3 linked regions of the Macaca mulatta genome follow. The protein of the gene in region 3 purifies or fractionates together with the protein of the main gene of each other region. This does not show direct contact. Links are inferred from orthologs where the notes say so. Each region holds a gene or a part of one and is shown on either strand. Other genes may lie near its edges.

Region 1 (10,601 bases), about 4.7 Mb from region 3:
CACCCTGCTCTGATCTCATCTCTGACTAACGCTCGGAAGCCCAGGCTTGCTGCTCGCCTCACCTGAGGTCTGTGCTGTCAGCCAGGGAGATGGCGGGCTTCCTCACAGCACTGCTGCAGGCGGCACTGTTGCTGCAGGAGATTTTGAGAGTCAGCATCTTCCTCCAAGAAGGAAGATAAGTGATGTCCCTGACAAGTACTGACCAATGGGGACACAAAATCCTGTGATACATGCTTGGACTGCACAAGAAGCCACAGGATACGATGGCTAAGAACCCAGGCCATGGCTGGGCACGGTGGCTCACGCCTGTAATCCCAACACCATTTGGGAAGCCGAGGCGGGTGGATCACCTGAGGTCAAGAGTTTGAGACCAGCCTGGCCAACATGGCGAAACCCCATCTCTACTAAAAATACAAAAATTAGCCGGGTGTGGTGGCGGGCACCTGTAATCCCAGCTACTCAGGAGGCCGAGGCCGGAGAATTGCTTGAATTGCTTGAAGCCAGGAGGTGGAGGTTGCAGTGAGCCAAGTTCGCGCCATTGCACTCCAGCCTGGGCAACAGAACAAGACTCTCAGAAAAAACCCCAAAAAACAAAAAACAAAAGACAAACAAGCAAAAAAAACCCAGTCGTGCACTGGACTGCCACAGTTTGAATCCTGGCTCTAACTGTGCCTTAGTTTCCTCATCTGTAAAATGGGGATGATAGCAGTACCTATATCCTTAACATGAATTAGCACCTGTAATATCCTGAGAACAATGCCCGGGACACATAGGCACTCAGTGAGTGGTCTTAGCTATTATCATTGATGGCGTTATCCTTAGATGAGCAGCAGCTGACCTGTCCACTGGACAAAGGTGACACAGGCAAGGCCAGGCACTGGTTGAGCCCATGTGTCAGTCTTGTGCCTGGCCTCCTGCCAAGCGGGGAACTGCAGGGCGAACACAGCAGAGTCTACAGGTTCAAAAGAGAGCTCAAAGTGAGGAGTCTCCTTCTGAGGAGCAGCCCCGCAAAGCCGGGGTAGGGCCTATCCTGTCTGGTGTAAAAATTCTGGCATCAGGGAGCTGCAGGGACCTGTCATTAGTCTCCATTAATCTTCAAGGTGTAAGTGACCAACTCCATTATTCAACCCAGGTGGTCAGAATACAGCCTGGGACCAGACTTTCTGCCCCATGTGGCCCATTTAACCCTCTCAAAGCCAGTTAGTTCTGCAAGCTGTGTCCCCCTTCCCACCCCAGCCTCCCCTTCCCTACTCAGCCTCTCAAAAATGCTCACTCTATTTCCATGTTCAGAAGCTCCACCAGAGCATTGAACGTGCCCACCTCCAGGAGGAGAAAGATGTTGTAGCGCATCCAGGACTGCACCTCTGCCTCCGAGCTGCACTCCCCAAACGTGCCTGCAACACAGGGTTCAGTTCACTGAGCCCCTCCCTGCATCTGAGTGGGCAGAGGTGCTAGGGAATCCTGGGGAGGTCCACTCAATACCTTGAGCAACATAGAGAATTGCTCGAGCCACCTTAAGTCTCTTCTCCCTGGCAGTGACTTCCAAGCCATCCAGGAGCCTCATGGCATGGGTCCGGTGCTGGTTGGTGTCCAGCTCAGTCCACTTCTTGTCTGTCACTGCAGGGCAAGAAACCAGTTACACCTGAGCCTAGAAAAATATTCACAATGGCATGGACCCATGTTAACTCACCAATTTCAGGACTGCCATAGGACCAGAAAGACAAGTTACCCCCTATGTAAGTGGTAAGATCATACTGCTGCCCTATGAATTTGATTTCCAAACTGAAACGCTGGTATTTTGGGCGCAATTTTAATCACATGAATTTTTTTTTCTCCCCCAATCTGCACATTCTGAAAAGCCCCCAAGGATGTGCCACAAGCCCACTCTACATGTATCTGGCTTTGAACCATCAGGGTTCAGCAGGCTTCTCAGGCCGTTCAAGGATGACTCAGGTCATTCAGATGCCTAAAAGAAACCTGCAGCTCTCATCATGCAGGGCAAAGGAAGCAAGAAGTGGGGGAAATCATCTCACCATGGATCCGGAAGTCCTCCTCAAAGCATTTTCGATTCATCAGGAATTCTGGCCCTTCCGTGTAGCTGTAAAGCTCTGTTGGAACAAAGTCTCATCACCATTGGTTCCATGTCTGCATTGCACACCAAGTCTCACATGTGCAGAGAAGGCAAGGCATTTGCTTCCACTCTCAACTCTGGCCCTGAGTCATAGTGACTCCTGGAATAAGCTCTCTAATTATGAAGGGGATCTTAGTTCTCTAATGTGCACAATAGAGAGAACCAGAGTGCCAGAATGCCATCTGGACACTTCCTGTCCGATGTGCATCCATCCCACCATGCCATGCCAGGGCTGACGGCCACCTGGGATGCGCCTCTCAAGTGGCTGCTACCTCTTGAGCAGGACATGTATTACAGAGGCTGGAGAAGCAGCTTACACCGACCTCGCATTACATGAGAGTGGCAGTGGCAGCAGCAGATGGGCACAGATGCAGGCATCCCTCATGACCCATTGCTGGAGGAGAGACCACTATCAGGGTCACAGTGGATAGCCAAGGAACATCACTGTCTCACAATGGGACTGGGCTCTAGTCAGCTTCATAAAAGTAAAGGACAACACAAAGTTATAAGATACACAAGGCTTGAATCAAATAACTAACGTGTCATATATATACATATATACATACACATATACATATACACACATACATATATACACACATATACATATATACACACATATATGCATATATACACATATATACGTATACATATATGCACTATATTTACATATATACACATATACACATATATATACACATACATATATCTATCTGATAGAACTAACTAGGGAAAGCAATGAAGCCCTAAATGATATTCATTCTTAATTTTCTTAAAGACCAATAAGGAAAAAACTACCCCCAAATAACACAAAGGTCCCTGCCTTACCCGAGAGCTCTGCAGCCCACTTGTCTGTGTCAGCATACTCAAACTCCAGGTCTGGTGACTCCGAATAGCCCTGCTGACAAGAGGAGAGAGCTTTAGGAAAAAGGATCATGCTGTTTGTCAAAGAAACACATGCTTCGAGATGCTGTTGTTACAGGACACCAGTGCCTCCACTTTTCTGATGTTTTTTCACATTTTGTTTCCTAAAACCTCTCAGAGTATCCTATACCTCTCCTTCAGAGCACTTATCATAACTTATCATTATAGGATGTGTTTAGTGTCTGCCTTTCCACAAGACTGCAAGTTCCCTGAGAACAAGAACATCATCCATTTAGCTTACCAATGATTTCACAAGGTCCAGCATAGTATTTGGCATGAATAAGTGAATGAATGAATGGTTTATACTCACATATTTGTTAAATGAACAAATACAAGGTTTCTATGTATTTTGTGCAGTAAATGACCATTCCATGTGATGCTAAGATTCCAGAAGTCTTAACTTCTTTCTGGCTAGTGAGCTGTCAACAGCTCAGGACAAAAATGAGTATTGAAACCCTCAGCTTTCCCCGCCTTTGTCTCAAATTTCAGTGAGAACTGACAAAGAAGGCCACCGCCAAACAGATCAACTTCCCTCCCACATATAAGAGAGAATGTGACAAAGACAGTCTTTTTCCTGTTGGAAATAGGTGATTACTGAGAACACACCATCTTGGAAGGCTTGTACTGGGAAGAGAGAAGTGAGAAACAAATAGGTAAAGTCCTTAGGTTTAATTACAATCTACCTGGGAAGACAAAGACCAGCCACAAAATGACATACCCACAAATGGCCAGACGAGGTGGCTCACGCCTGTAATTCTAGCACTTTGGGAGGCTGAGGTGGGCGGGTCATTTGAGGTCAGGAGTTTGAAACCAGCCTGGCCAACATGGTAAAACCCCATCTCTAATAAAAACATAAAAATTAGCCAGGCATGGTGGGTCGTGCCTGTAGTCCCAGCTACTGGGGAGGCTAAGGCAGGAGAATCGCTTGAGCCCCATAGGTAGAGGTTGCAGTGAGCCAAGATCACGCCACTACACTCCAGCTTGGGAGACAGAGGGAGATTCTGTCTCAAAACAAAACAAAGCAAAACAAAAAACATACCCACAAACAAGAACTCCACATTGTGTTCAGAGACAACACAGTGTACACTTTGACAAGTTATTGAGCTTCAGTTTCTTCACTCATTGAATGGCAATGATGAAAATCTACTCTGAAGATTTTTAAGGACTAATCAAAATTATGTAGTACACAGTGAGCTCTCATCAAATGTCAGCCTCCCTCTCCTCCAGGCATTCACTGATCAGGCTCCCAAACTACCGATTTCGGCTATGACTAAAGAAAGATCACGGCATCAGCCTCTCTTTTTTTTTTTTTTTTTTTTTGAGACGGAGTCTCGCTCTGTCGCCCAGGCTGGAGTGCAGTGGCCGGATCTCAGCTCACTGCAAGCTGCGCCTCCCGGGTTTAGGCCATTCTCCTGCCTTAGCCTCCTGAGTAGCTGGGACTACAGGTGCCCGCCACCACGCCCGGCTAGTTTTTTGTATTTTTTTAGTAGAGACGGGGTTTCACTGTGTTAGCCAGGATGGTCTCGATCTCCTGACCTCGTGATCCGCCCGTCTCGGCCCCCCAAAGTGCTGGGATTACAGGCTTGAGCCACCGCGCCCGGCAGCCTCTCTAAAGAAATGGATTTAGACAGGTCTCTGCTTAAATGTGTCTATTTGACTGGTCTTTCATGTAATCAGTCTATGTGGAAATTTTTTTTTTTTTGAGACGGGGAGAGTTTCAGTCTTGTCACCTAGGCTAGAGTGCAATGGTGCAATCTCGGCTCACTGCAAACCTCCGCCTCCTAAGTTCAAGCAATTCTCCTGTCTCAGGCTCCTGCCACCACGCCTGGGTAATTTTTGTACTTTTAGTAGAGATGGGGTTTCACCACATTGGCCAGGCTGGTCTGGAACTCCTGACCTCAGGTGATCCGCCCGCCTCGGCCTCCCCAAGTGCTGGGATTACAGGCCTGAGCCACTGGACCCGTCCGCTATGTGGAAATTAAAGGGTAAAAAGAGAAATTAAAAATTCGTCAAAGGGTATTTATTTGACCATTCATAGCTACTCAGACAAATTTTAAACCATTTTTCAAAATAACTCCTCTCATGATGAAGGTAGGTTCACCCCCCTCCACTTTTGTAAACTTCCACACTTGAAAAACTGAGTAGTTACCACTGATGTCCATCATCCCACCATGCAAGGGCTCCTAAAAGGTCAGTGTCATTGTTTTTTCAAAGAATTCACTCCAAGCTCAAATTACGTCTACTTCGGGCTTGCCAACTGTTGACATGTTTTCTCAGGGGTTTAGGCTTGCTAACAAAAAATAAAAGCTTCTGAGGAACTGATTTCACAGGTCTAAAGATAGTATCATCGCTCTTCGGTATGAATTGGTACATTATGGTTGGACAATGAGGAATTCCCTCTCATTAACTTGGCTGATCAGGTTGGCTGCTGATCAATCTAGGAGATGGCATAGTAAGTGCTCTGGGAACCTGCTGATTAAGAAGCCCTAAAACGCCGTGACATGAGTATCTTCATTCATGAATTCTGCAAAGGGAGGTAGTGGGAGGAATTCTTTAACTTGGGGTGAGGTTACTAGTCAGCTACAGACTATGCCATCTCCAGAACGGCAGGAACGGCTCACTGGCGAGACGAATGAATGCTGGGTCCTAACGAATGCTTAAAATGTCTATTTCTCATCTTTAACAGTTCAGTAGCAGGCGCACTGGGCACAACACCCACCACAGGCACTGTCAACCCCACGGCCTGATCTGGCTCAGGTCAGAACAGGGCATGTTTCCTCCTCCTACTCTCGGAACCTACGGCAGCGCAATACTCTCAGTGATAATTAGCTCGGTCCGGCTCTAACTGCCTTCTAGATCCTCGCCGGTACCTTTCCTGCCCACAAGCGCCTTCCTCTGTACGCGGCAGGACCCAGGAGCTGGCGCCCGCGTGCCAGGGGCAGAGGCCCGAGATGATTAGGTTGGGGACGCGGCCGCCCAGCGCCCTGGAGTGCACCCAGACCCCCGACTCCTCGGCCCCGAGCTGGCGCGAAGGCGGCTTCCCCAGGGGCTGGGGCCTCGAGGCCACGCCCACAGCCGGGGCCCAAGGGAGCAAACCAGCAGTTGCCGGCTCCCGGAAGGTCTCCCGGGCGGCGGAGCTCTAGCAAGGACCCCAGCTTCATGCCCTCGACCCCAGGAGCTGCGAGCCTCGCTTCCTGCTCCTTTCGCTGTATACTGACAGTTCTCGGCCGGGCTCTACCGAGCCCTCTGGGAAGCCCAACCTGGTCCCGACAGTGGCTTCGGGCCCGGGACCCCCGACGCCGCCCGCCCGGGTGCGAGCCTCGCCCCCCGAAGCTCCTGACCTCCGAGTCTTTGCGCTGGTTGCGGTTGAACTCCCGGGCTTTGCCCCCAGGAAGGAGGCCCGCGCCGGCCCGCGGTGCCCCGGGTGGTGGCTGTGCGGTTGCCGGCGGCGGAGGTGGCGGAGGCTGGGGCTGCTTGTTGTTCACGATCAGCGGGCCCGGACCGCCGGCTGCCGGCTCCATCTTGGCTGCTCCACACCCCCAGGTTGACTCGGGGACAACCGCCGTGATGCAAGTCTCGCGTGATTTTCTCGAGAAAATTTCCCTGGCCGCCATATTAAGTGTGGCGGCCAGTGTCAGAAGCCATCTTGGCTGACCAACACCTCGCGATATTCTGTCTGCAGCCCTTCCGTTGTTGATCTTTTTAGTTTTCCTCCTAACTTTCAGTTTCAGTTTAGAAGTAATTTTATCTGTGAGGCTTCCCTGAGCTTCTTCGGTTTAGTTACCCCTCCTTCCTCTAAATTGCTTTGCACTTATCACTGATAGCCTTGTTCAAGGCTTAGGCGGAATTTTGTAATGAACAAAATGGATAGGATGCTAGTTCACAGAGTTGCAGTTGTGACAAGTGCTAATCATTCAACAAACATTTGATAAATGTCTCCTGTGCACCAAGCAGTGGGATAAAATGAGGAACAAGTGTCTGCAGTCATGGTACATAACAGTGCTTGGTGAGTCAGACAAACAATAGACAAATGCAGAGAAATAAATGCTGAAAAGTGTTAAAGGAAAATTTGTTCACGGCACTAATTAAAGATGGTAAGGCAGACTTTGTGTAAGAGAGCCCATGGTGATAGTTACAGGGACCACTACAACCAGACCTTGCAGTGAAGAAGAGGAATTAGACTCAACTCTGACTCCAACAAGAAACAGTGGAGATTTATAACCAAAGAGCAGGATGAGGGTCAGTGGATGGAAAACTGTCATGCCCGACCGTGTGAAGAGACCACCAAACAGGCTTTGTCTGAGCAACATGGCTGTTTATTTCACCTGGGTGCAGGCGGGCTGAGTCTGAAAAGAGAGTCATCGAAGGGAGATAAGGGTGGGGCCGTTTTACAGGATTTGGGTAGGTAAAGGAAAATTGCAGTCAAAGGGGGGTTCTCTGGCGGGCAGGAGTGGGAGTCAAAAGGTGCTCAGTGGGGGAGCTTTTTGAGCCAGGATGAGCCAGGCACAAGATAATGTCATCGCTCAAGGCAAGGACCGGCCATTTTCACTTCTTTTGGGGTGGAATGTCATCAGTTAAGGCGGGGCAGGGCCTTTTTCACGTTTTTTGTGATTCTTCAGTTACTTCAGGCCATCTGGGCGTATATGTGCAAGTCACAGGGGATGCGATGGCTTGGCTTGGGCTCAGAGGCCTGACAAAAACTACTAAGAGAAACATCAAGGATAAGAAGTTTCTTGCTAAACTGACCTAACAGGATTATTGCTGAAAGCAGGACAGGGTGCTAAGATGTTGAGGGTGGTCAGATACCGAGTGCTATGGTTTGACTGTGTCCCCCAAATTCCATACGTTGGAAACTCAATCCTAAAGTTCATATATTGATAGTATTTGGAGGTGGAGCCTTGACGGGGTAACTAGGATTAGATAAAATCATCAGGGTAGGGCCCCTGTGATGGGACTGGTGGCTTTGTAAGAAGAAGACGAGTGATCTGAGCTGGCACACATGCTCTTGCTCTCTCATCGTGAGAGGCTGTCTACCATGCAGTTTAAGAAAGCCCTCACCAGAAGCAACCCCTCGACTTTAGGCTCCCCAGACTCCAGAACTGCAAAAAATAACTTTCCTTCCTTTATAAATTACCCTCTTTGGTATTGTTATAGCAACAAAAAATGGACTAGGACGCCAAGAGTGGAGAGTTCTTGCACAAACTGGATTCAACAAGGACAGAAAGGGAAGCCCAAAGGGTTAGGCCTAGTCAGGCAGAGGACTAACAGGAGCCTGACTAGAGTTTTGGCCAAAGAAGAGAATCTTTGTTAGAAGAAACAAAAATTAAGAGGTTAAAAGGTGGCAGTGGGGCGGGGGACGGGTTGGTGGAAGCGGAGAATGTGGCTATAATACAAGCATGCTGCCCAGGGAAGGCCTGAGGGTGTGATTTTAGAAGAGTTCTGAAAGAAGTGAGGAGAAGCCCTGCAAAGTTCCAGGAAGGGCACACAGACAGAGGAAACGGCTAAATGCAAAAGCCCTGATGTTAAGAGTGTCTGGAATTGAGTGAGCCAAGGGAGGGATAGTAGTTGATGAGAGCCATATAATGATAATGCAGGGACCAGAAGAATGCAGGGCCTTGAAGGTAGTGGGAAGGAGTTTGAATTTTATTCTAAGTGAAATGGAAAACCATTCGAGGGTGTTAACCACGGAGATGTTATGGTGTGATGTTTACAAGTTCAATCTGGCTGCTTTTGGAGAAGGGATTGGAGAGTTGCAAGAGTGGATAAGGCAAGACAAGTTAGGGGACCATGTAGATGGAGATGATGGTACTTGCACCAGAGTGGAGCGTTGGGTTGATATTTCTATTTTGTGTAGGTAGGGGGACAGGATTTGCTGGAATCTGATCAGCTGGGTGGGGGGAATAAACAATGACCCCCTAGATCTAGGTTTGGGCAACTGAGTGGATGGCTGTATCACTTTAATAAATAAGTAAGCCCAAGAGTAAGAAAAACAGGTTTAGAGGAAAGATCAAGACTTCAGTTTTGGACACATCAAGTTCGAGATACTCATCAGACATCTTAGAAGTGTTGTGTGATAATAGCTCTTACCATTATCTGTTGTTATACTGTGAAATCCTTAAAGGCATTTTATCTATCTTTGTCTCTCCAGCTTTACATATTGCCTGCTCTACACCCCAGGCTCAAGTCCAGAAAGTCCCTGTGATACAACTCTCCAGGGATTTCCCCTGAGGTCCAACCTAGTAGGTGCTTAAAAAGTCTCTGTTGTAAATTAATAAATAATCCAAAACTACCACACTGCTATTTCCTCCTATCTATCTTCCTGTGCCTATCATAAGCTGTGTCACCTGGGGAAAAACATGTTTCAGCTAAATTTAGAACAGGGAAGGTTTTGGTTCAATAATTCCACTTCTAGTAATAGATTCTAAGGAAATAATCAGATTTAAATAAAGATAGGTGTACAATAATATTCCAGGCAATGGTGTTTTCAATAGTGTAAAGCTGCGATTAACCTAATTTGAGAAATAGCCAATAAGAAAATGGTTAACTTTGAGAGGCCAGGCACATGGCTCACGCCTGTAAGCTCAGCACTTTGAGAAGTTGAAGTGGGAGGATCGTTTGAGCCCAGGAATTTGAGACCAGCCTGGGCAACAGAGCGAGACCCTATCTGTACCCTACCCCCCGCCAAAAAAAAAAATCAAATTTAAAAATTTTTGAAAAAGAAATGGCTAACTAATGGAATGGGGCATGCATAAGACAGAGTATACAGATCTGGAAGGAAAAAGAATCCCAAATGTGAAGGAGCAGAAGCACAGCTGGAGAGCTCACTACTCCAACTTGCTAGGAAACTTTGAGAGAAGCACAACCCAGTAGAGAGTAGAAGTTGTAAAGTGTCTTCATGCATTTCTCTTTTTTCCTTCCCCATCTGTAAAATGAGAATAATCCCACTTGCCTTTTTGTCGGAGGTGTGTGAACCAGGGCAACTCCATCTTGAATAGGGGCTGGGTAAAACGAGGCTGAGAGCTACTGGGCTGCATTCCCAGGAGATTAGGGCATTCTTAGTCACAGGATGAGATAGAGGTCAGCACAAGATACACGTCATAAAGATCCTGCTGATAAAACAGTTTGCAGTAAAGAAGCCGGCCCAAACCCACCAAAATCAACATGGCGATGAGAGTGACAGCTAGTCCTCCTCGCTTTTACACTCCCACCAGCACCATGACAGTTTACAAATGCCATGGCAACACCAGGAAGTTATCCCAGATGGTCTACAAAGGGGAGGCATGAATAACCCACCCCTTGTTTAGCATATAATCAAGAAATAAGCATAAAAATGGGCAACCAGCAGCCCTCGGGGCTGCTCTGCCTATGGAGCAGCCATTCTTTTATACTTTGACTTTCATAATAAACTTGCTTTCACATTACGCTATGGACTCCCTGAATTCTTTCTTGTGAGAGATCTAAGAGCCCTCTCTTGGGGTCTGGATTGAGACTCTTTCCTGTAACATTTTGAGCCATGGTGGCAGGCGCCTGAAATCCCAGCTACTCA
Region 2 (10,106 bases), on a different chromosome or scaffold from region 3:
GGGGGCAATTTAATTGCCTAGGATGCATAGTCCAACAATTTATGATTCTAATATTCTAACATTTCTACAGTCCAGTACTCCAACGCAGAAGCCCACTGTTCTTTTAACATTTTACGATTTAGACGTGGAGTTCCACCTGGTTTCCTCTTGCCATAACACCCAGCTGCCCACCCTGGGGACCCTGGTGTCCACAATTAAGAGTGGCTAAGAGGACTGTGACTAGGAAAGGGAATAGGGTCCCCAGGGTCTCTAGGGGTGCCTGCCCCTCCACACATATCTCAGGCTTAGGGCAAGGCACAATTGGGCTCTAAGACCTCACTTGCCCCTGGCAGCTAACTCAAGCACCTGCACTCACACATGTCACCGGATCACCATGGCCAGCCCGGGTTCAATTTCTCCTGTTTCCACCAAATGGGAGGCCCAGGATGGGCCTGGATGTGGAGGTCCCCCGACATCTGCTGCCCCTTCCTCCCCTCTCTACACCTGGCTGCCCCCCCCTTCCTCCCTGTTTGCTGCAGAAAACAACAACATGCAGGGACATGAAATTTGGGGAGGCCTCTGGGGCACCCCACCCCTGCCCAGTCCTCTCTCAAAGGGATGGTGGGGAGAGGGGCAATGGAGGGGGGCAATGTCCCCTATCCCTCCATCACCCAATGCTCAGGTCCCCTTCCCCCCTCTTCCGCACACCAGGCCCCAGACCCCCCTGCCAGCGCCCCCTCCTTCAATCTCTCCCCGAGCTGCATCGAGGGAGCCCGCGCCCTCACCTTCTGGTCCACGATGGAACAGGCCAGCTGCTTCACATGAGCCAGCTCGGAGGCGGCGGGCAACAGCACGAACTCGCGGGTCAGCCCGATCTGGATGTGAAAGGAGACCCCGGAGCCCGGGGCCGGGACCTGGGGCAGTAGCGCTGGCGGCGACTGCAGCTCTAGGCCGCCGGGGGGCGGAGGAGACCCCGGCCCGGGAGAGCCAGGGAGCCCGGCGGGAAAAGAGGGGGCGGCGGCCATGGGGGGAAGCCAGGGACCGGCCGCCTGGCGCCCACCCGGGACCCGGCCGGGGGGCCCCGGGGGACCCTGGGTCCTAGATCCGCGGGATCTCGTGAGCAGGTGGTGGGAGCGCGGGGATCCAAGAAAAGATCTGGCAGGTGGAGGGGACCTGAGGATGGCGGGGTCCTGGGAAGGAGAGAAAGGCACTGTAGCGGGTCAGAGGCCCGGAATCCAGGACTCCCAGCAGAGCAGAAAGGAGAAAAGTAGTGGTTTGGAGGTCCCAGCGATTGAGAGATTCCAAGAAGCCCAAGAGGAAATCTAGTAGGTAAGGGTCACAGGGATCAGGAGAGCCCGCGATTCAAAGGCCCCTTCCCTAGAGGACGGATTGAGAAGGGGACAGAGGGAATCCCAGGAACCAGTGCTCCAAGAAGAGGATCCCACTCAGAAGGCGGCCCGGGGGAATTCACCTTGAGGGTGGAGGCAGGAGTCTCTGAGTCGGGGACCAAGTGGATCCCAGAAATAAAGGGGTTAGCAGGGACCCGACTGGCCCGGGGATGGGCAGAGGGGTCCCGAGGGCCGGAGTGGGTAGAAGGGAATCTCACGAATCGCAGAAGTTGGAGAAAAGTTCGGTCGGGAGCCGTGAGGAAGGGGGCGTTGCCGGCGGCGGGGTAGGGTGGGGGGCAGGGAGGGTCGCCAGGAGCCAGTAGCTCTTTTTCCCCCTCCAAAGTTTAAGTCGGCGGCGGCGGCCCAGGAGGAAGTGTCCGGAGCGACGGCGCAGTCGACCAATCGGCGCGGGCCTCGGCAACGTCACGAGGGGGCGGAGCCTACCCAGGGGCCGGGGGCGGAAGGGGAGGGCGGGCTTGGTGCCTCTGAGTTGGGGGTTGGACCTCCGCCTCCTGGGTCGGGGACCTGGGATGGTGTGAGAGATGGAGGGCAGGCAGGCGAGACCAGTTCCTTCCCTGAACACAGCCAAGCCTGGAGAGTTAACTTTTCCCTCGACTGGACAGGGAGGGGAAACACTGTCACCCACCGCCGGTCGCGGGCGTCGGGCTTGGAGACCATTGGCCCTTTAAGGAGGGGAGCCCTCTCCGGCAGGCGTCCGGCGCCCATGACAGTGGACAGGGTGGGAAATCAGGGTCAGGTCCCGGCCCGCTCCCTTGGCTCGGCCTCTCTGTTCTCCGAGCGTCGCCCCAGCCCTCCCCGCCGCGTCCCAGCCCAGGGAAGGGGGTGCTGCAGAGCGTCCCCCCGCCCCAGCCCATTTAACACATGGAAAGACCAAGGTCTCCAGATGGGTAGGAAGGGCTCGCCTTAGGTCTGTCTCCAGCGTTGCTGGGCAAGGTGCATGGCGCTAACTGGATGGGTGGGGAGGGTCCATCCCCCCCCACCCCAACCCCGCCTTAGGACGGTGCGGGGCTGCCAGGAGGGAGGACAGCACACCCATACCACTTCATAGATGCAGAGTGAGTCTCCTGGGGATGTGGAGTACGTGTGCGTGTCTTTCTCTCCATGTGACTTTAGGTGAGTGGCTTCTCTGTGAACCTCAGTCCCTCCATCTGTTGGGACTGTAATAGGACTTACCCCACATGGGATGGTGGGAACCGATGCGATTGTATACAGGTGCCTGGAAACGCAGCAGTTCAGTAGAAGCGGTGATTGTCTCTAATATGCGGAAAAGGGTGGCCACCTCCAGCACTCAGGCTTTGATGGGTGGGCACGTCCATTTAGTCACCCAGCAAGTATCTGTGAGGACCTACTGGGTGCTGGATGGACCCTGCCGTAAAACTCCAGCCGCTACAGGGGTCAGGCTTGATCTCTTCTCCCCAGCTAATCATCAAATAGTGGCTACCATGTAGTTTACACAGAGTAAGCTGTGTTTACACAGAGTAAGCTGAAGCCTCAGAGATCTTGCCCAAGATCCCAGAGTGAAGTTGCTTGAGGGAAGCTGCCCCACCCACCCCTTTGATTGACAAGTCAAGGCCTCGGTTTGAGCTCTAAGAGAGGGGCCACCTGTCTGGCTGGGATGCTGGCAGGACTGGAAATGGCAGGACTGGCTGAGGATGGGGGCTGCCAGAAGAGCCCCTCTTCCTGGTGTAGGGCCGTTGGGGGTAGCTGAGGTCGGTACAGTATCGATTCTGTCACCACATCCGGGGACTGGGGCTGAGGAAGGAAGTCTGAGGCTGGAGTGAAAACCCAAACCACCACCTGGGGAACTGCATCGAGCCCAGAGGGATGAGCAGGGAGCACACCACGTGGAGCCCACGCAGGCTCCTGTTGGCGTCACCTAAGGGCCTCCTGCCCACCTGCACCCTTTTTCCTGAGGGGGAGATGACTGTCCCAGCAAAACGCTGCCATGTCCCCAGTGTCCAGACAGCGACCTCCATCCTTTCTGGTATGTTCACTGGGGCCTGCTGGGGGACTGGGGACACAGCCCTTTACAACCCAGGAAGAGGGCATTAGTGGCCTGTGGCAGAGGTGCTAGGACAGCTGAGGACGCCTAGCTGGTAGGTGGTGGAAGCCTCCTCCTGGAGACAGGAGCGGCGGTCCCCTCCATCTCATCTGGAGCATGTGGACACCTGTTCCCTCTTTTTAAGGCTGTGGACCCAGTGAAATGCCATGTAAAGCGCTCAGCACAGTAGACATGGACTACTGAGAACAGAAAGGAGGGACTCATCAGGACATGCGCCACGAGAGCTCGGGCACCTGCAGCACCTCCTCCTAGCATGGAGGAGCCTTCGGCCTGTGTGCCAAAGCCATCCTTCTCCACTGGCAGGAGCAGCCTTTCCCTCCCTGCTCCTTGTGGGCCTGGGAGGGAAACAGGAAGGGGGTTTATGTCCTCTGGGCACCAGCCCTTTGGCCTCACCACCACCCATCACACATCCCAGGCAGGGCTGAGGCTTCAGCTGAACTGTCATCACAGTATCTGCTCCCCAGGGCTCTGCCCCTGGGGAGGGAGCACTTAGGGACAGAAAGAAAGGGCACAAGGAGATTCGGTCCAGTGCCTCCACTTCTGCTCTCCACCCACACCCCACCCAAGCTCTGGGCCCCTCTCCGTCCCCTGCTGCCCTACCACAAAACCCCAACCCATCATATCCCCTCTCTCCAAACTCCACTCAACCCAGGCAGAGCCGGTCACTCCTCCCCCAAAGTCCCCAGTCCCCTCAACAGATGGCACCGTCACCCATCTTACTCCAAAGGGTTTATTGAGACAAGTTTTCACATACAAGATGGGGGCAGAGGGGATAGGGGTTATAAACAGGAACCTGGAAGGGGACCGAGAGTGCACGGTAGAACCAAACAAGAGTGAAATAAATAGAGGAAAGAGTGGAGGCAGGGAGGAGACTGACTGAGACCATCACACAGTGATAACGTGGGTGGGGCAGCGCCATGAAAATCCCGTTATTTATACAGATATACAGGGAGTTCAGGGGGACCCAGGGGCCCCCTCCACCCTCCATGCCCCAGGGAGGGGCATAAGAAAGCCATCTCTGCCCATGGGCGACCCCGTGGGGCGCTGGGAGGGCTGCCCTAGGAGTCTTGGGCAATCCCTGGCCTGGAGGCCATGGTTAGTGTCTGGAAAGCAGTGGAGAGGGCCAGAGGGGAGGGGCAGCCAGGCCGGGGCTCAGCTCCGAGGCTTCCGGCTGCCACCCTTTCTCCCAGCACAGCTCCTGCCCAGGTCTGGGAGGATGGGGGATGGGGCAGCAGGAGCTCAAGGGGGAGAACCTGGCACCTTCTGGAGTCTTGGAAAAAGTGATCCCTAAAGACACCCAGCCTGGCTGTGCTGCCCTCTGGAAGGCAGCTCTGATACCAGGAGTGGCTGTCAGGGCACAGGGGGAAACCCCGAGGCCATCCTCAGGGGTGATTCCTGAAAGGGGCCCATCCCCAGGCTAAATGCTTGGGGAAGGCAGCCCTGGGGGAGGGATTCCTGGGGAAAGGGCCGTTAGCACCACCAGGCTCCACGGCAAACAGAGGCCAGGCCTCTGCACCTCCAGTGAGGCTGGGAGTCCCCTGCGGGAGAGAGAAGGGAGAGGAGACTGAGCCACCGTCTCTAGGGCACCTCTCAGGCCTCAGCCCCTCCCCTGCATGCCCAGGACTTCCCCAGTGATTCTCACAGGACGCCTGACTGGACTGCGGGGCTCAGCACACTCAGGAGTACCAGGCATGGATGTGTAGGGACTCAGGTTGCGGGGTTTCTGCCCTCACCTCAGCCCCACCTGCCCGGCCCCGCACCCTAGCCAGTGTGGCGGCCAGGGCAGGGCCAGGTGGGCATCATACGAAGACCTTGGCCAGGGCGTCGGCGCCAGCACTGGCAATGAGGGCCTTGCTGGGGTGGCAGGCGACGGCGTGGATGGCCTCCTCATGCTTCTTGCGGTGGGCTGTGATCTCCTGCACGCACGTTTTGTTGTCCAGGCTCCAAAGACGCAGGGAGCAGTCATGGCCTGAGCAGGGGTCGGGGGCAGAAGGGGTGGTCACCGGGCTCCTCACTCAGACGCAGTCCTGGAACCCCTCACCTGGCCTTGTCCAAAGGCCTCAGGGGAAGTGGGGCTCAACTCTCCTCTCTCATCCTCTGTTCATCACCTCCTGAGGCCCACCCAAAGGAGAACCCTGGTCCCTTCCTGTCCACAGTCCATCTCGTTCCCCAGCATTTCCTGAGCAGCTACTGCACACTGAGCCCCGGGGCGGAGGGGCGGGCAGTGAACAAAACAGGCAACTCTCTCTGTCCCGCAGCCTTGACGCTGCAGCTGGGAGACAGGAAGAGAAAGAAGAAAGCAACCCAGCCGCTCAGTGTGAGGACAGAATGGCCCCAGGAGGAATGCAGGGAGCCTTCCAGGCAAAAGGACAGGTGGGAAAGGTCCTGAGGCAGGAGGCGGGGGTGGCCACAAGAGCCTGAGCAGGGGCTTGGGGAGAAGAGGGGAGAGGACAGCAGGCTGGGTAGGGCCCTGGTGAGGAGAGGTCTGATTTAGGGTCAAGAGGATCAGGCAGGGCAAAGGCTTAGCTCCCTCCACTGTCTAGTGGCCCCCAGAACAGAGCCCTGTCTGGGCACTGGGCTGGAGTTCACTGACCGGCCCCTCACCCACCAGAGGCTGCCAGCACAGGCCCAGAGGCAAAGCCCAGCCACAGCCTCCAACACCACAGCCTGCGCCTCTGTGCACACACACACTCACTGCTGCACTCACTGCAGGCCTCACCCTTCACCCCACAGCGACCTCCAGTCTCCTCCACCCACCTACGTCCCATTCCATCCCTTCTAAGCACAGCCGCGTTGCTGGCCTCAATGCCCTTATCCACAGACAGCAGGGTGGGAGCACAGAAGTCCCTGCAGGTACCCCCAGGTAGACCTGGACTGATGTTACGAAGCTTCAATGGCCAAGTTACAAAGCGTCAGGGCGTCAGGGCCCACATCTGTAAACTGGGGATCAAAGTACCAACCGCACAGGCTGCTTAGTGGCCGAATAAGACGATGCAGCTCCAGTGCCCCAGAGGAGTGCCCCAGTGGGCTGTGCTGCCCGCTATGGTCATCACTGTCATTCCCGCCCAGACCAGCTGCCCCCTGCCCTCTATGGTCACCACTGTCATTCCTGCCCAGACCAGCTTCCCCCAGCCCTGGCCCCCGGGCCCACTGAACACTTGCCTGGAGCCAGTGCCCAGGCCTCTTCCTCCCCTTCTCCCCAACCCTGGTGCAACTAGTGTGCCCAACTTACTTCCTGACATCAGGAATGCGCCATTGGGGTCCACGGCTAGGCAGGTGACTGCGTCCAGGTGTGCAACCATGGAGTGCACCAGCTTACCTGAGGCGAGAGGGGCGGGTGGCAGGTTTCCCTCCCACTCTGAGCCTCGACTGAGAGAATGGAAGGACTGGAGGAGACGCTCCCAGAGCCTCCCACAGGGACACAAGCATCTCTGCTGCCTGCCTTTGGCCCTCCCCACCCACCGCGAGCACAAGGGGCTAGGCCTCACCTGTCCGATTGTCCAGGAAGCGGATGCCCCTGTCGTCGTGGGCGGTGATAGTGAGAGGCTGGTTTGGATGACTCACCACTTGGTTGATCTGGGTTGGACCTGAAGGAAAAGGCAGGAAGAGGGAAGGCTGTCAAGGGGAAAATCAGGAAGACTGGAACAGAGGCATGAGTGCAGCGTGACAGCCCCACGGCAGCCTCTGCCTGGATGTCGAGGGGGACTGGGCGAGGGCACTCCCATCCCTGACCGCAGTGCTGGTTCTGCACAAGCAGCCCCTGGGCCCTGTTTTGGGGCTGGGGGAAGAGGAATAACAAACATGAACACATTCCGCCACTCTACCAAGAGGGCCTGACGAAGTGGCCTTGACACACTCTCCCCACTCGGCCCCCCCAGTGCTCTGGCTGTGAGGGCGGGGGGCCCTCCACTGGGACCCGACTTCCTTCCTGCTCAGGGCCCAAGGGTGCAGGGGAGTCATCTGAGCTGACTGGCAAGGGGTCACCAAAGCCCCAGGAGGAAGTGGGGCCCGCAAGACACTGAGACCAACTCCCTGAGCTGATGTCAGCCCCCTTACCGCTGCTGCCCCGGGACTCCAGCGTGAGGAGGGCACCACCAGCCTCCAGGTCATACAAGACAGTGTCGCCAGAGCGGAAGGAGGCCACGATGTGGGCAGGGTCGGTGCTGGTGAAGGCCACTGAGGTTGGGACCCCGTGCTCTGAGGGCACAGGGAAGAGAAGGCTGAACGGACCCTCAGACCCAGCCCTGCCCCAGGGTGGGAGACTGTGGGTGGGAGGCCTGGGGCCTCAGCGGGAACCACTCTGATAGCCTCCAGCCCTGCATAGCTCCAGGGTAAGGTGCTGGGGCCCCCACTCAGGGCCCCACTCACCGCTGGCTGTGGGGAAGGTGCAGAGGCAGGCCGGGCTGCTGCTGCTGGGGTCCCAGATGCGGACGGTGCCGTCGGCGGAGCAGGAGGCCAGGCGCTGGGAAGCGGGACTGAAGGCCAGGCCCCACACGGCATCCCCGTGGCCCTCCAAGACGTGGCTCAGCACGCTTGGGTCTGCACCCACCACAGGGAGGAAATGGGCTGTGTCAGGGATGTCAGCTCCTCCCTGGACAGCCCAGAGCCCCAGCTCTGCCAAGCCCCAGGCGGCTGGGCTCCAATCACCCATGCACCCGCTTCACACCTGCTGCCCCTTGGAACTGTCCACCACCAGGACAGCCCGGCAGCTGCTCACACTGCCCACTAGCTTTCCAAGGAAGGTTCTAGGGCTCCAGAAGGCAGGGATTTCCCTCTATTCATGGCTGTCTCCCCAAGCAGGGCCCAGAAACTGAGAACTCAATACAGAATTTTTTGGACTCCATTAAGGAAGAAGGAACAGTATGGTTCTGTGGTCCCAGGAGTGGCACACGGCCTGTGCTGGCCAAGCGTTGGTCCCAGCCCTGGCCCAAGCAGTCTTTTCAGCCCGTGACCCAGTGCATGAGTTTGCCTGGTCTCTCCAAAGCCCCTTGGTCATTCAGAGGTCCAACCACTGCTTCCCTGGTCGCTGGAGTCCACACCAGCAGCTCTGGCCTGCTGACACTGAAAGTGTGGTGGTTAATGTGGCTGGGACCGACCCTGACCTTATGCAGGTGAGCCTGTTCTCTAAAGTCTGTCCTCTCCTTGAGAGGACACAAAGACCTCTGAACTCTGTCCGGACAAGGTCGAGCACAGGGCCAGGTACATGATCAAGAGGAGGCAGAGCCGGGTGCAGTGGCTCACGCCTGTAATCCCAGCACTTTGGGAGGCCAAGGCAGGTGGATCACCTGAGGTCAGGAGTTCGAGACCAGCCTGGTCAACATGATGAAACCCCGTCTCTACCAAAAATACAAAAAATAGCTGGATACGGTGGTGCATGCCTGTAATTCCAGCTACTGAGGAGGCTGAGGCACGAGAATCACTTGAACCCAGGAGGCAGAGGTTGAGGTAAGCCAAGATCACACCACTGCATTCCAGCCTGGGCGATAAAGCGAGACTCTGTCTCAAAAAAAAAAAAAAAAAAAAAATTGTGGCAGAGAGCAGGAGGACAGATGTTGAACAGGAGTGACAGTCTGGTCACTTCCCTACTTAGGTCTTAGATGCTCCAAAGAGAAAGCCCCAACTCCCTCCAGCCTGGCCCAGCTAACTCCACCTTCTCTGCTTTCTCTGGACATGCCCTCCCCCTAACCACGCAGAGACGCTCGTGGATCCCCACACACAGAGCACACGGCATGGCAGAGCAGAGGCTGCCAGGGCCAGCCACGCCTGTGCATGGGCTGCTCCCAGCCTGGGCGGTCCCAGCTCTGCCTTCTGGACACCACCTCACATGATTCTCAGGCAGCTTCACCACCCCCTCCCACAGCCATCGTTCCCAGCCTGGCTGGCTCGTCCCTCAGCCACGCACTACATCGTGCTGCTCACAACACAGCAGACGGGGCAGCCATCACATGCACTCCCGAGGCCTGCAGTGTTGGGCAAGAAGTGGACGTGACGTGTGCGTGCGTGGAGGGGACGGCCAGGCCCCAGCGGATGTGAGGGGAAGGCAGGCGGCGTTGTCCTCACCATAGCCATCGTAGGGATCCATGCTGAGGTCTGGAATCTTCCAACTGTGGATACAGGCATCTGCCCCTCCACTGTAGCAGTACTCACTGTTGCTGCCCATGGCCACAGCCAACACTGGGCCCCTGGAAGGGACAAAGATATGGAAAGGGGGATGAGACAAGCTCAGAGCCTCCCCTGGCCACAGGACCAAAGTTTCCTACTAGCATTCTTCAAGGATGGCCAAAAGGAATTCAGTGACTGGGGCTCTGGCCATGCTAGCTGGACAAGCTACCTGTCCCCTGCCCTCCCCCAGCCCACCTCCATCTCCTCCCCTGAAGGGCTGTGCTGAGCACCAGCTGCCAGGGTATGTGAAAGTCAGCATGGAGCCCCAGGAGCCAGGGCTGTGTATATCATGGAGGGGCGCGGGGACTCAGAGCCCCTGCTGTTCTGCCTCCTGCCATGTGCCTCCCGGGATGGCAGTGAGTGGGTCAGGGGTCAGGCTGCGTTTAGGACGAAATTTCTAGCAGGCTCAGGGGCACCTCCTTACCTGTGAGCCCGGAAAGCATGGATAGGTTCCACGTCTAGAGCCGCATTCCTGTGGGATGATAGAGGAGCCT
Region 3 (10,665 bases):
TCACAATTGCTACAAAGAGAATAAAATACCTAGGAATACAACTTACAAGGGATGTGAAGGACCTCTTCAAGGAGAACTATAAACCAATGCTCAAGGAAATAAGGGAGGACACAAACAAATGGAAAAAAAAAATTCCATGCTTATGGATAGGAAGAATCAGTATCATGAAAATGGCCATCCTCTCCAAAGTAATTTATAGATTCAATGCTATTCCCATCAAGCTACCATTGACTTTCTTCACAGAACTAGAAAAAACTACTTTAGATTTCATATGGAACCAAAAACGAGCCCATATAGCCAAGACAATCCTAAGCAAAAGAACAAAGCTGGAGGCATCACGCTACCTGACCTCAAACTATACTACAAGGCTACAGTAACCAAAACAGCATGGTACCGATACCAACACAGATATATAGACCAATGGAACAGAACAGAGGCCTCAGAAATAACACCACACAACTACAACCATCTGATCTTTGGCAAACCTGACAAAAACAAGCAATGGGGAAAGGATTCCCTATTTAATAAATGGTGTTGGGAAAACTGGCTAACCATATGCAGAAAACAGAAACTGGGCCCCTTCCTCATGCCTTAAACAAAAATTAACTCAAGATAGGTTAAAGACTGAAACATAACACCCAAAACCATAAAAACCCTAGAAGAAAACCTAGGCAATATCATTCAGGACATAGGCATGGGCGATGACTTCATGACTAAAACACCAAAAGCAATTTCAACCAAAGTCAAAATTGGCAAATGGGATCTAATTAAATTAAAGAGCTTCTGCTCAGCAAAAGACACTATCAGAGTGAACAGGCAACCTACAGAATAGGAGAAAATTTTTGCAATATATCCAGCTGACAAAGGGCTAATCTCCAGAATCTAAAAGGAACTTAAACAAATTTACAAGGAAAAAAGAAAAAGAAAAAACCCCATCAAAAAGTGGGCAAAGGATATGAACAGACACTTCTCAAAAGAAGACATTTATACCTGGTGCAGTGGCTCACGCCTGTAATCCCAGCACTTTGGGAGGCTGAGGTGGGCAGATCATGAGGTCAGGAGATCGAGACCATCCTGGCTAACACCGTGAAACCCGGTCTCTACTAAAAATACAAAAAAAAAAAAAAAAAAAAATTAGCCGGGCATGGTGGTGGGCGCCTGTAGTCCCAGCTACTCTGGAGGCTGAGGGAGGAGAATGGTGTGAACCCAGGAGGCAGAGCTTGCAGTGAGCCGAGATCTCACCACTGCTCTCCAACCTGGGGGACAGTGCGAGACTCCAACTCAAAAAAAAAAAAAAAAAAGAAAAAGAAAAGAAAAGAAGACATTTATGGGGCCAACAAACATTAAAAAAAAAAAAAAAGCCTCATCACCACTGGTCATTAGAAAAATGCAAATCAAAACCACAAGGAGATACCATCTCATGCCAGTTAGAATGGCAATCATTAAAAAGTCAGGAAACAACAGATGCTGGCAAGGATGTGAAGAAATAGGAACGCTTTTACACTGTTGGTGGGAGTGTAAATTAGTTCAGCCATTGTGTAAGACAGTGTGGTGATTCCTCAAGGATCTAGAACCAGAAATTGCATTTGACCCAGCAATCCCATTACTGGGTATATACCCAAAGGATTATAAATCATTCTACTATAAAGACACATGCACATGTATGTTTATTGCAGCACTATTTACAATAGCAAATATTTGGAACCAACCCACATGCCCATCAGTGACAGACTGGATAAAGAAAATGTGGCACATATACACCATGGAATACTATGGAGCCATAAAAAAGAATGACTTCACCTGGACAAAGTGGCTCATGCCTATGATCCCCAGGACTTTGGGAGGCTGAGGCAGCCAGATCACCTGAGGTTGGGAGTTTGAGACCAGTCTGACCAACATGGAGAAACCCTGTCTCTATTAAAAATACAAATGCCTGTAATCCTAACTACCTGGGAGGCTGAGGCAGGAGAATCGCTTGAACCTAGGAGGCAGAGGTTGCAGTAAGCTGAGATTGCGCCATTGCACTCCAGCCTGGGCAACAAGAGTGAAACTCTTGTCTCCAAAAAAAAAAAAAAAGAAGAATGAGTTCATGTCCTTTGCAGGGACATGGATGAAGCTAGAAACCATCATCCTCAGCAAACTAACACAAGAACAGAAAACCCAACACCAAATGTTCTCACTCATAAGTGGGAGTTGAACAATAAGAATGCATGGACACAGGGAGGGGAACATCTCACACTGGGGCCTGTCGGCAGGTGGTGGGCAGGGGGAGGGACAGCATTAGGACAAATACCCAATGCATGTGGGGCTTAAAACCTAGATGATGGGTTCATAGGTGCAGCAAACCACCATGGCACATGTATACCTATGTAACAAACCTACATGTTCTGCACATGTATCCCAGAACTTAAAGTAAAATAAAAGTAAAAATAATGAATGATTCCCTAGGTTTAAATAAGGTTTTCCTAAGGTATTGGTTTACTCTTAATGAAATTAAAGGAACTTTTGCTTTTTAATTCTATCACCTATTTCTTTTCAAAACTTCTCAGATTCATATCTTAGACGTTCAACTTTTGTTGTGCCTGCTGTTTTCAGCTTTTTCCTCCCTTTGAAAAGGACTCTTCAACTTTTTCCATCAGCTCCTCTAATTTTTTCCTCTGATTCCAACTGTTGGGGCCTGATGCTGAAATGTTTTATCTTAGAATTCTATAAAAGCATTGTTTTCCTCCAATATAACTTGATTCTGTACTCTTGGCTTTTCTTGATAAGTGTGATTTTCATTGTAATCAGAAAACTTCTGACACAATTGCTCAGAGTGGTGTATTCCCTTGCTGTACTCATAATCGTGAATACGCTCTTGTGTCTGATTAAATTCAAGCACTTTTTTCAAGTCTGACTTTCAGGTTATCTGCATGGTCTTCCCATAAGGAGAAGCAGTCACACAGCAGAAGGGGTTTTTTGCCTGTGTAGTAACTTGCTTAAGAAACAAGATTTTTATGTTTTATCAAGATAATTCCCATGCTCTCTTTAACTGGTTTTTAATTGCCTAGAAAAACTGAGAGTTAAAAGGGTTCGGGTTTTTATGTGCAGGTAACCTTCTGAATTGCCTTTAAAGTCTTTAATTATCAGTTTGGTTAAATGAGTAACCATTTAACCAAATTTATTAATAAAAATAAATACATTATTTTTACAATGAATATTATCCTGTTTTGATCAAATGTTTTGAGACTTTTGAAATCTTTGACAGATGTCCTCAAAATCAAAATCATAAATTAAGTCTCTGACTTATTGCTAGGGTTTATCAAAGCTATAAAAGTTACTCACTGCAAGGTTGTAAAATCTTTTTACAGCTTTCAGTCAGGTCATAGACTCCAGTATCACACCTCCAGCTCCTTGAAAAGGTCCTTATCAGGTGATATTAACTAATCCTTGTGCTTTCAAGTTACAGGGCTTTACACATATCTCATCCAAAGAAGGCACCAACTCCTGCCAGTATCTGACACTAAACTGCAGTTAACCAAAGCCTCATCTTTAGACTCAGGCAAAGGCGACAAAGTAAACTGCTTTCATGAGACACAGGGACAGTCTTGTGTTCAAAAATATTAAGATTCACTTAACAATTTTGCCTCTATCTGAACTAATGTAATGTATTCTGTGCCTTGATAGTAAATAATTTAAGTGTTTAGCTCCGTATGAACTTTCTTTCCTGTTACTCTCAAAACTAGGCAGGGTTTATGACCTTTGTGTTTGAAAAGTTGTTAATTCTTTCTGTTTTGTTTTACCTACAATAGTTGAAACTCTTCAATCCCCTCAGGCCTAGAGACTATAACATAATGTTGTAAGGGCCAGTATTGAGGGCTAAAATCAGTTCAGACCCTACAAATCAAGGATGACACACAGATGCCAAAACAGCTGAACAAAATGCTTGCATTTCATATAGCTAATTGCAGCAAGCCAAGATTACAGCAGCTCAATGCATAGAATTTATAGATAAGTCAATTTTGTAACCTTGCCTTTTGGTTTTTGGTTTTTGGCTCTTAACATTGCTTAAGAGGAGTTTTAAGGTTAATGAGTGCCTGCCCACCTCCTTCCCCATCTGGCCTAGAATGTTTAATTGGCTGTAACTCTTTTGACTCTAAGTCGGTTGGCCGCAGGAGTGACATGATGGACTCAGGGCAGGTAGCACACCACCCTGGCATTGATATGGGACAAAATTAAAGTTTGGACACTGATACTGTCTCTGGGATACGTTGACAAAAAAAAAAAAAAAAAAAAGCGGAATGCTGTTTTGAAGGCATGAGTGTAGCCATTCCCCATCTGCGAGCGTTTGATTAGTAAAACTGCTTTCCTTTCATCATCAGTCACTTCTCATGATTTTGGCCTCTAGGCAACAAACAGCCAGACGTGAGCCAGTTGTAATAGCAGCATTATTTACAATAGCAAAAGGCGGAAGCAACCCAACTGTCCAGCGGATGAATGGATAAACAAAACGTGGCATATACATATTATTCAGCCTTAAAAAGGAAGAACATTCTAACATATGCTACTGTGTGGATGAAACTCGTGGACATTACGCTAAGTGAAACAAGGCAGTTATATGAATATAAATGCTGTATGATTTCACTCACGTCAGGTACCCAGAATAGTCAGATTTGTAGAGACAAAGTAGAATGGTGGTTGCCAGGGGCTGGGGATAAGGAAGAATGAGGAGTTATTGTTTAAAGAGTGCAGAACTTCAGTACTGCAAGACGAAGGAGTTCTAGAAATGGATGCTGATGGTGGCTGTATAACCATATGAATATACTACTGAACTGTACACTTAAAAATGGCTGAGATATTAAATTTTATGTGCATTTTGCCACAATTTTTTAAAACTTAAATGAAAGTAGGCCAGGCGCAGTGGTTCACACCAACACTTTGGGAGGCCGAGGCAGGCAGATCACTTGAGGTCAGGAGTTCAAAACCAGCCTGGCCAACATGTGAAACCCCGTTTCTACTAAAAATAGAAAAATTAGCCGGCATGGTGGTGCATGCCTGTAATCCCAGCTACTCGGGAGGCTGAGGCAGGAGAATCGCTTGAACCCGGGAGCCATAGGTTGCAGTGAGCCAAGATCGCGCCACTGCACTGCAGTCTGGGCGACAAGAGCAAGATACCAAGATACCGTCTCAAAAACGAAAAAAAATAAATAAAAATTAAATGAAAATAAAAAGAAAATAACTGTGACTGAATAACAATCCACATCAATGAAAACCAGTGGGGAAAGGAGACCTTCCTTCTGCCCAGCTCATCATGGCCTGACCACCAGGCTGTGGCAACTGGAAACCAAGAGCGTGGTAAGGGCAGGTCTGGGGCTCCGCGTCAGGCAGGACTGCAAGGAAGCCACAGGTAAAAGCGGGTGAACCCGCAAAATAGGGTGCCACTGCGCAGGCGCCTCTTGCGTCTGCCAAGACACCTTTTAAACGTGCCCGGAAGTGACGCCAGTAATGCTGAGACAGACTCCCAGAAGATCTGAGCGAGTCGCGTAGCTGAGCCCGGCAGGGGCTGGGGTTGTGCTGCTGCTATGAGCTGCACCATCGAGAAGATCCTGACAGACGCCAAGACGCTTCTGGAGAGGCTGCGGGAGCACGATGCGGCTGCCGAGTCGCTGGTGGATCAGTCGGCAGCGCTGCACCGGCGGGTAGCCGCTATGCGGGAGGCGGGGACAGCGCTTCCGGACCAGGTCAGGCAGAGGGTAGGAGTCCAGTGCTCTCGGATTCTGGGCACTGAAGGGTGGAGAGCGAGGTAAAGTGGGAACTCGGCCTGAAATTTATTCCCGGTCTCAGAGGGCGGCGGTGAGACCTTTTTCCTGGGTCGGAGCTGAGAATCCTGCCCTAGAGCCCTGACTTCTGCCACTTGAGTTGCATCTGCCGCTGTTCTCTTTAAGGCATGCTTAGACTGTCTCTATTTGTCCAGTATCAAGAGGATGCATCCGATATGAAGGACATGTCCAAATACAAACCTCACATTCTGCTGTCTCAAGAGAACACACAGATTAGAGACTTGCAACAGGAAAACAGAGGTTAGTCAGGCCTTTTCATATCTGGTAATAGTTTAAAGTTACTGCAAAATTGCCCTAAACATTCACAAGGGTGTGCATCTATTTCCAGGTCAGTACTTTTCGTAGGAGAGTCCTCCTGTGCTGGCTCAGTAACAGTAAAGTTTGTTAGATTACCCATTTCAAGGTCATCTGACTGATTTTGTAGCAGCTTACCAAAGAGGGGCTATGTAGAGTTAGAATTATTGCATGGTTTATTTTTAAGCATCTCCAGATGTGTAACAAAAGAGTTCATATCCTCATGGACTTAAAATTTAATGTTTAAATATTAATATAAACACTGAAGGTAAGATTTAAGGTTTTGTTTATGTTCTTGTTTGTGCAAGGTGAAGCAGCAGAATTTTACTCTAAGGGTATATATTCTTAGGCTTGATTAGTACATTATTAATGACTGTAGTATTAATAGTTGTTTACCAGAGGGGTTTCACATATATCATTCTACTGTATTCTCATATCTTCATTTTTATCTATCACAATGCTGTTAAGAAATAGGCTCAGAGAAGCTAAATGATTTACTTATGAGTATTAACCAAGCAAGTTACAGAACTGAACTCAAATCCATGTCTTCTGATGACATATCCGTTGTTGTTACTGCAAGATTTTGCTTCTCTGCCTAGAAAGTTACCTTTAACATAGACTTTAACTGCTCAGTTTTGTAGACTGAAACATTGATTTACAACCTTGGATTCATATTATCTCTATAGTATTGCAAAATTCTAACTGTTAAGACTTTGGATTTGGGAACTGTCTCTCAGACATCACTGCCAAGTTATTTTATTTTTTGACAGAGCTGTGGATTTCCTTGGAGGAACACCAGGATGCTTTGGAGCTCATCATGAGCAAGTACCGGAAACAGATGTTACAGTTAATGGTTGCTAAAAAAGCTGTGGATGCCGAACCAGTCCTGAAAGCTCACCAGTCTCACTCTGCAGTAAGAAACTTCGAATAAATTTGAAATGAACCAAATTGAAATCTTGAGATTGTTTTAGATTGTGTGCTTGTTTTTTTGCTTTTTGAGACAGGGTCTGGCTCTGTCGACCAGGCTGTGGTGTAATGGCACGATCTCAGCTCACTGCAACCTCTGCCTTCTGGGGTCAAGCCATCCTCTCACCTCTGCCTCCTGAGCAGCTGGGACTACAGGTGCACACCACCATGCCCTGTTAATTTTTGTGGGGTTTTTTATTATTATTATTATTATTTTTTTTTTTTTTTGTAGAGATGAGGTTTCGCCATGTTGCCCAGGCTGGTCTGAAACTCCTGGGCTCAAGCGATCAACCCACGTTAGCCTTCCAAAGTGCTGGGATTATAGGCATGAGCCACTGTGACTGGCCATGTGTGCTTGTTTTTGAAGAAAAGTAAGCTTGTTTTCCTTTCATGTTTATCATATTTGTTGTTTATTTTGCCATGGCTTTGTAAAGATATGAATAGAAAGAAGGATAGTGGTTGCTCAGGTCCTTTTATTTGAATGGGACTAACGTTCCCCCTCCCTCACCAAGATCTCTTTTGAAAATGTTCATTAATTCTTAGCCCTCACACCAAACGTAATGTCAGTTAGTGTTGAAGGTGCCCAGTAAATACTTGGTTGGTTATTATACATTTCACTTAAGCTCCTTGGTTGTGAGGCACTTGAATTCACATTTTATTCCTAACATAGTACCTGACATATAGCAAGCAGTCAATAAACCTTTTATAAACTGAACCACATAGCATCATACTATGTTATTAGGGGATAGAAGTATGGTTTTTAAAAAAAACAAACATGGCATAGTTTCTATGCTTTGATTGCTTATTATCTAATTTGGGAGACTCGGTAATTGTTCTTATGTTTGTAGGTGCTTCATGGTTGTCATTGTACATTCGTGTGTACTGTGTCATTTAATTCTAGATGTATAAGTTGGAGCCTACTACTTCTGTGAGATGTAGTGAAATATAAGCTTCATCTTAAATTACATTGAATGCATTTTACTGACTTAAAAGTTTTAGGAAACAGATATTTTAAATATTTGAATGGCTTTCAACTGGAAGAGAAAAATAGATTTTATTTATTCTCATATGGAGGAAAAAACCTGAACTTTGAAAGAGACAGTTTACTCAGATAGATAAACTTTCTAAGTGATATGTCCAAAGATAGAATAAGGCACCTTGGAATGTAGTAAGCTTCCTGCCAGTGAAAGTATTCAAATTTAAGTTAAACAGCCACTTAGAGGTAGTATCCAACATCCAATGGGTAGTTAAACTACAACTGATTTTTTTTTCCGTTTCAAATATTTTTATTGGAGGGTGGACCTATTGGGTGATTGATGCACTGGACATAGATAATTTTCAGAAATGAAAATAACATTGCTTGCATCAGATCAGATTTCACCCACAGAAATGACTAAGGCCTTATCAGAGTTGGCATTGGATGAAAACTTAATCCTTTATGGAAAGGGAATCATCTGGCCTTCTATTTCTGAAATAGACTAAAGATTACTCATTTATTCTCTGCAATTACAGCCATCAGATCCTTTGAAATCTTGGAAGGTGTGAGAAGATAACATGACTGTAACACAAATCCATATCGAAGAGCCCAGTATTTAAAAATTCCCCATGTTCACATACTGAAGGGTTACTTATGAGCTGATGCATATCACTGATAACCATAGGATTATCAACTTGATGTCTGGGCAAAGAGTGAAAACAGAAAATGCATTCTACTCTTCACTTCTTGGTTTTAAATATAAGAAACATTATATATTTGTTTAAAAACTGTATCCCTGGCCAGGCGCGGTGGCTCAAGCCTGTAATCCCAGCACTTTGGGAGGCCGAGACGGGCGGATCACGAGGTCAGGAGATCGAGACCATCCTGGCTAACACGGTGAAACCCCGTCTCTGCTAAAAATACAAGAAAATTAGCCGGGCGAGGTGGCGGGCGCCTGTAGTCCCAGCTACTCGGGAGGCTGAGGCAGGAGAATGGCGTGAACCCGGGAGGCGGAGCTTGCAGTGAGCCGAGATCGCGCCACTGCACTCCAGCCTGGGGCACAGAGCAAGACTCCGTCTCAAAAAATAAAAAATAAAAAAATAAAAACTGTATCCCTTAGTAATGGTATCAATAGAACATATACAACTGGAATGAGGATCCCCTTAAGGAGGCCTTCTTTTTTTTATTTAAGTTCTAGGGTACATGTGCAAAACGTGCAGGTTTGTTACATATGTATACATGTGCCATGATGGTGTGCTGCACCCATTAACTCGTCATTTACATTAGATATTCCTCCTAATGCTATCCCTCCCCACTCTCCCCACCCTACGACAGGCCCCAGTGTGTGATGTTCCCCACCCTGTGTCCAAGTGTTCTCATTGTTCATTTCCCACCTATGAGTGAGAATATGTGGTGTTTGGTTTTCTGTCCTTGCGATAGTTTTCTCAGAATGATGGTTTCCAGCTTCATCCATGTCCCTACAAAGGACATGAACTCATCATTTTTTATGGCTGCATAGTATTCCATGGTGTATATGTGCCACATTTTCTTAATCTAGTCTATCATTGATGGATATTTGGGTTGGTTCCAAGTCATTGCTATTGTGAATAGTGCCGCAATAAACATATGTGTGCATGTGTCTTTATAGTAGCATGATTTATAATCCTTTGGGTATATATCCAGTAGTGGGATGGCTGGGTGAAATGGTATTTCTAGTTGTGGATCCTTGAGGAATCGCCACACTGTCTTGCACAATTGATTTTTTGGAAAAAAAAAAATTATCTGTGAATACCACAAGATCACTTTACTATGGCTTTATGTCTAAGGACTAAAATTATAGTGAAACTCCATTGTAACTTCTGTATCATAGATTAAATGAACTTTTAAAAATCATAATGCACACACTTTTATGTTCTTTATATATAGAGAACAGGTGACTTTTCCACCTTTGTTTCCTTAATATCTTCACAGGAAATTGAGAGTCAGATTGACAGAATCTGCGAAATGGGAGAAGTGATGAGGAGAGCAGTTCAGGTGGATGATGACCAGTTTTGTAAGATTCAGGAAAAATTAGCCCAATTAGAGGTAAGATTGTAGCTATTTTAGGTTCACAGTATTTCAGAGTTTTCGGAGTCTGGAAGATATGCCATCACTATCCCATCACTGTAATATATTAATGTTTTCTGTGTGCTCATGATTTAAAATTAAAACTCCTCCTTCATACTCTTTGATATCCTTTTGAAGAAAGGAAATATAGTAAACAGCAATCAGTGGAAATACCAACTATGTATTGGCAATAACTTGAGATATTATAATGGGAAGGTAGAGGGAGTAGAGGGGAGAAGTTATATGTGAGATAAAATCCTTCATCTGCCATAATAAGTGAAGTAGATAATGTCTAAAATTAATGATCAGGAAATAGCAGTATAAGCATATTATTTAGAATTACAGAATTAAATACCAAAAGAAATAGATAAAAGTGTTAAAACTGGTTGCATTTGGGTTACAAAGCCAAAGAACTGCTTGTATAAGCCTTGTAGTCTTGATTTCTTAAAAGCTATGTTAGGTCATATTTTGATTAAAATAGGAATATTTTAATATTCCTATTTT

What was found.
Region 1: the proteins of SIKE1 (region 3) and STRIP1 purify together in Homo sapiens (affinity purification with mass spectrometry; 3 studies listed by BioGRID and IntAct, with this or other methods). This does not show direct contact. The link is inferred for Macaca mulatta from reciprocal best matches to the Homo sapiens genes SIKE1 and STRIP1.
Region 2: the proteins of SIKE1 (region 3) and STRN4 purify together in Homo sapiens (affinity purification with mass spectrometry; 3 studies listed by BioGRID and IntAct, with this or other methods). This does not show direct contact. The link is inferred for Macaca mulatta from reciprocal best matches to the Homo sapiens genes SIKE1 and STRN4.

What each region holds. Positions count from the first base shown.
Region 1 is NC_133406.1:130,156,191-130,166,791, forward strand, and holds the start of STRIP1 (striatin-interacting protein 1), read right to left. Parts: upstream 6,591-10,601; 5' UTR 6,577-6,590; coding exon 6,397-6,576; intron 3,030-6,396; coding exon 2,960-3,029; intron 2,109-2,959; coding exon 2,034-2,108; intron 1,618-2,033; coding exon 1,483-1,617; intron 1,395-1,482; coding exon 1,274-1,394; intron 132-1,273; coding exon 63-131; intron 1-62. UniProt on the Homo sapiens protein: Plays a role in the regulation of cell morphology and cytoskeletal organization. Required in the cortical actin filament dynamics and cell shape. Part of the striatin-interacting phosphatase and kinase (STRIPAK) complexes.
Region 2 is NC_133424.1:59,195,065-59,205,170, forward strand, and holds the end of STRN4 (striatin-4), read right to left. Parts: intron 10,085-10,106; coding exon 10,037-10,084; intron 9,633-10,036; coding exon 9,511-9,632; intron 7,990-9,510; coding exon 7,819-7,989; intron 7,648-7,818; coding exon 7,507-7,647; intron 7,038-7,506; coding exon 6,939-7,037; intron 6,770-6,938; coding exon 6,683-6,769; intron 5,420-6,682; coding exon 5,250-5,419; 3' UTR 5,184-5,249; intron 4,989-5,183; 3' UTR 4,167-4,988; downstream 1-4,166. Other genes in the region: PRKD2 (serine/threonine-protein kinase D2), read right to left, coding at 765-1,004. UniProt on the Homo sapiens protein: Calmodulin-binding scaffolding protein which is the center of the striatin-interacting phosphatase and kinase (STRIPAK) complexes.
Region 3 is NC_133406.1:125,468,911-125,479,575, forward strand, and holds the start of SIKE1 (suppressor of IKBKE 1), read left to right. Parts: upstream 1-5,500; 5' UTR 5,501-5,561; coding exon 5,562-5,720; coding exon of another isoform or gene 5,721-5,732; intron 5,733-5,953; coding exon 5,954-6,059; intron 6,060-6,883; coding exon 6,884-7,026; intron 7,027-10,026; coding exon 10,027-10,140; intron 10,141-10,665.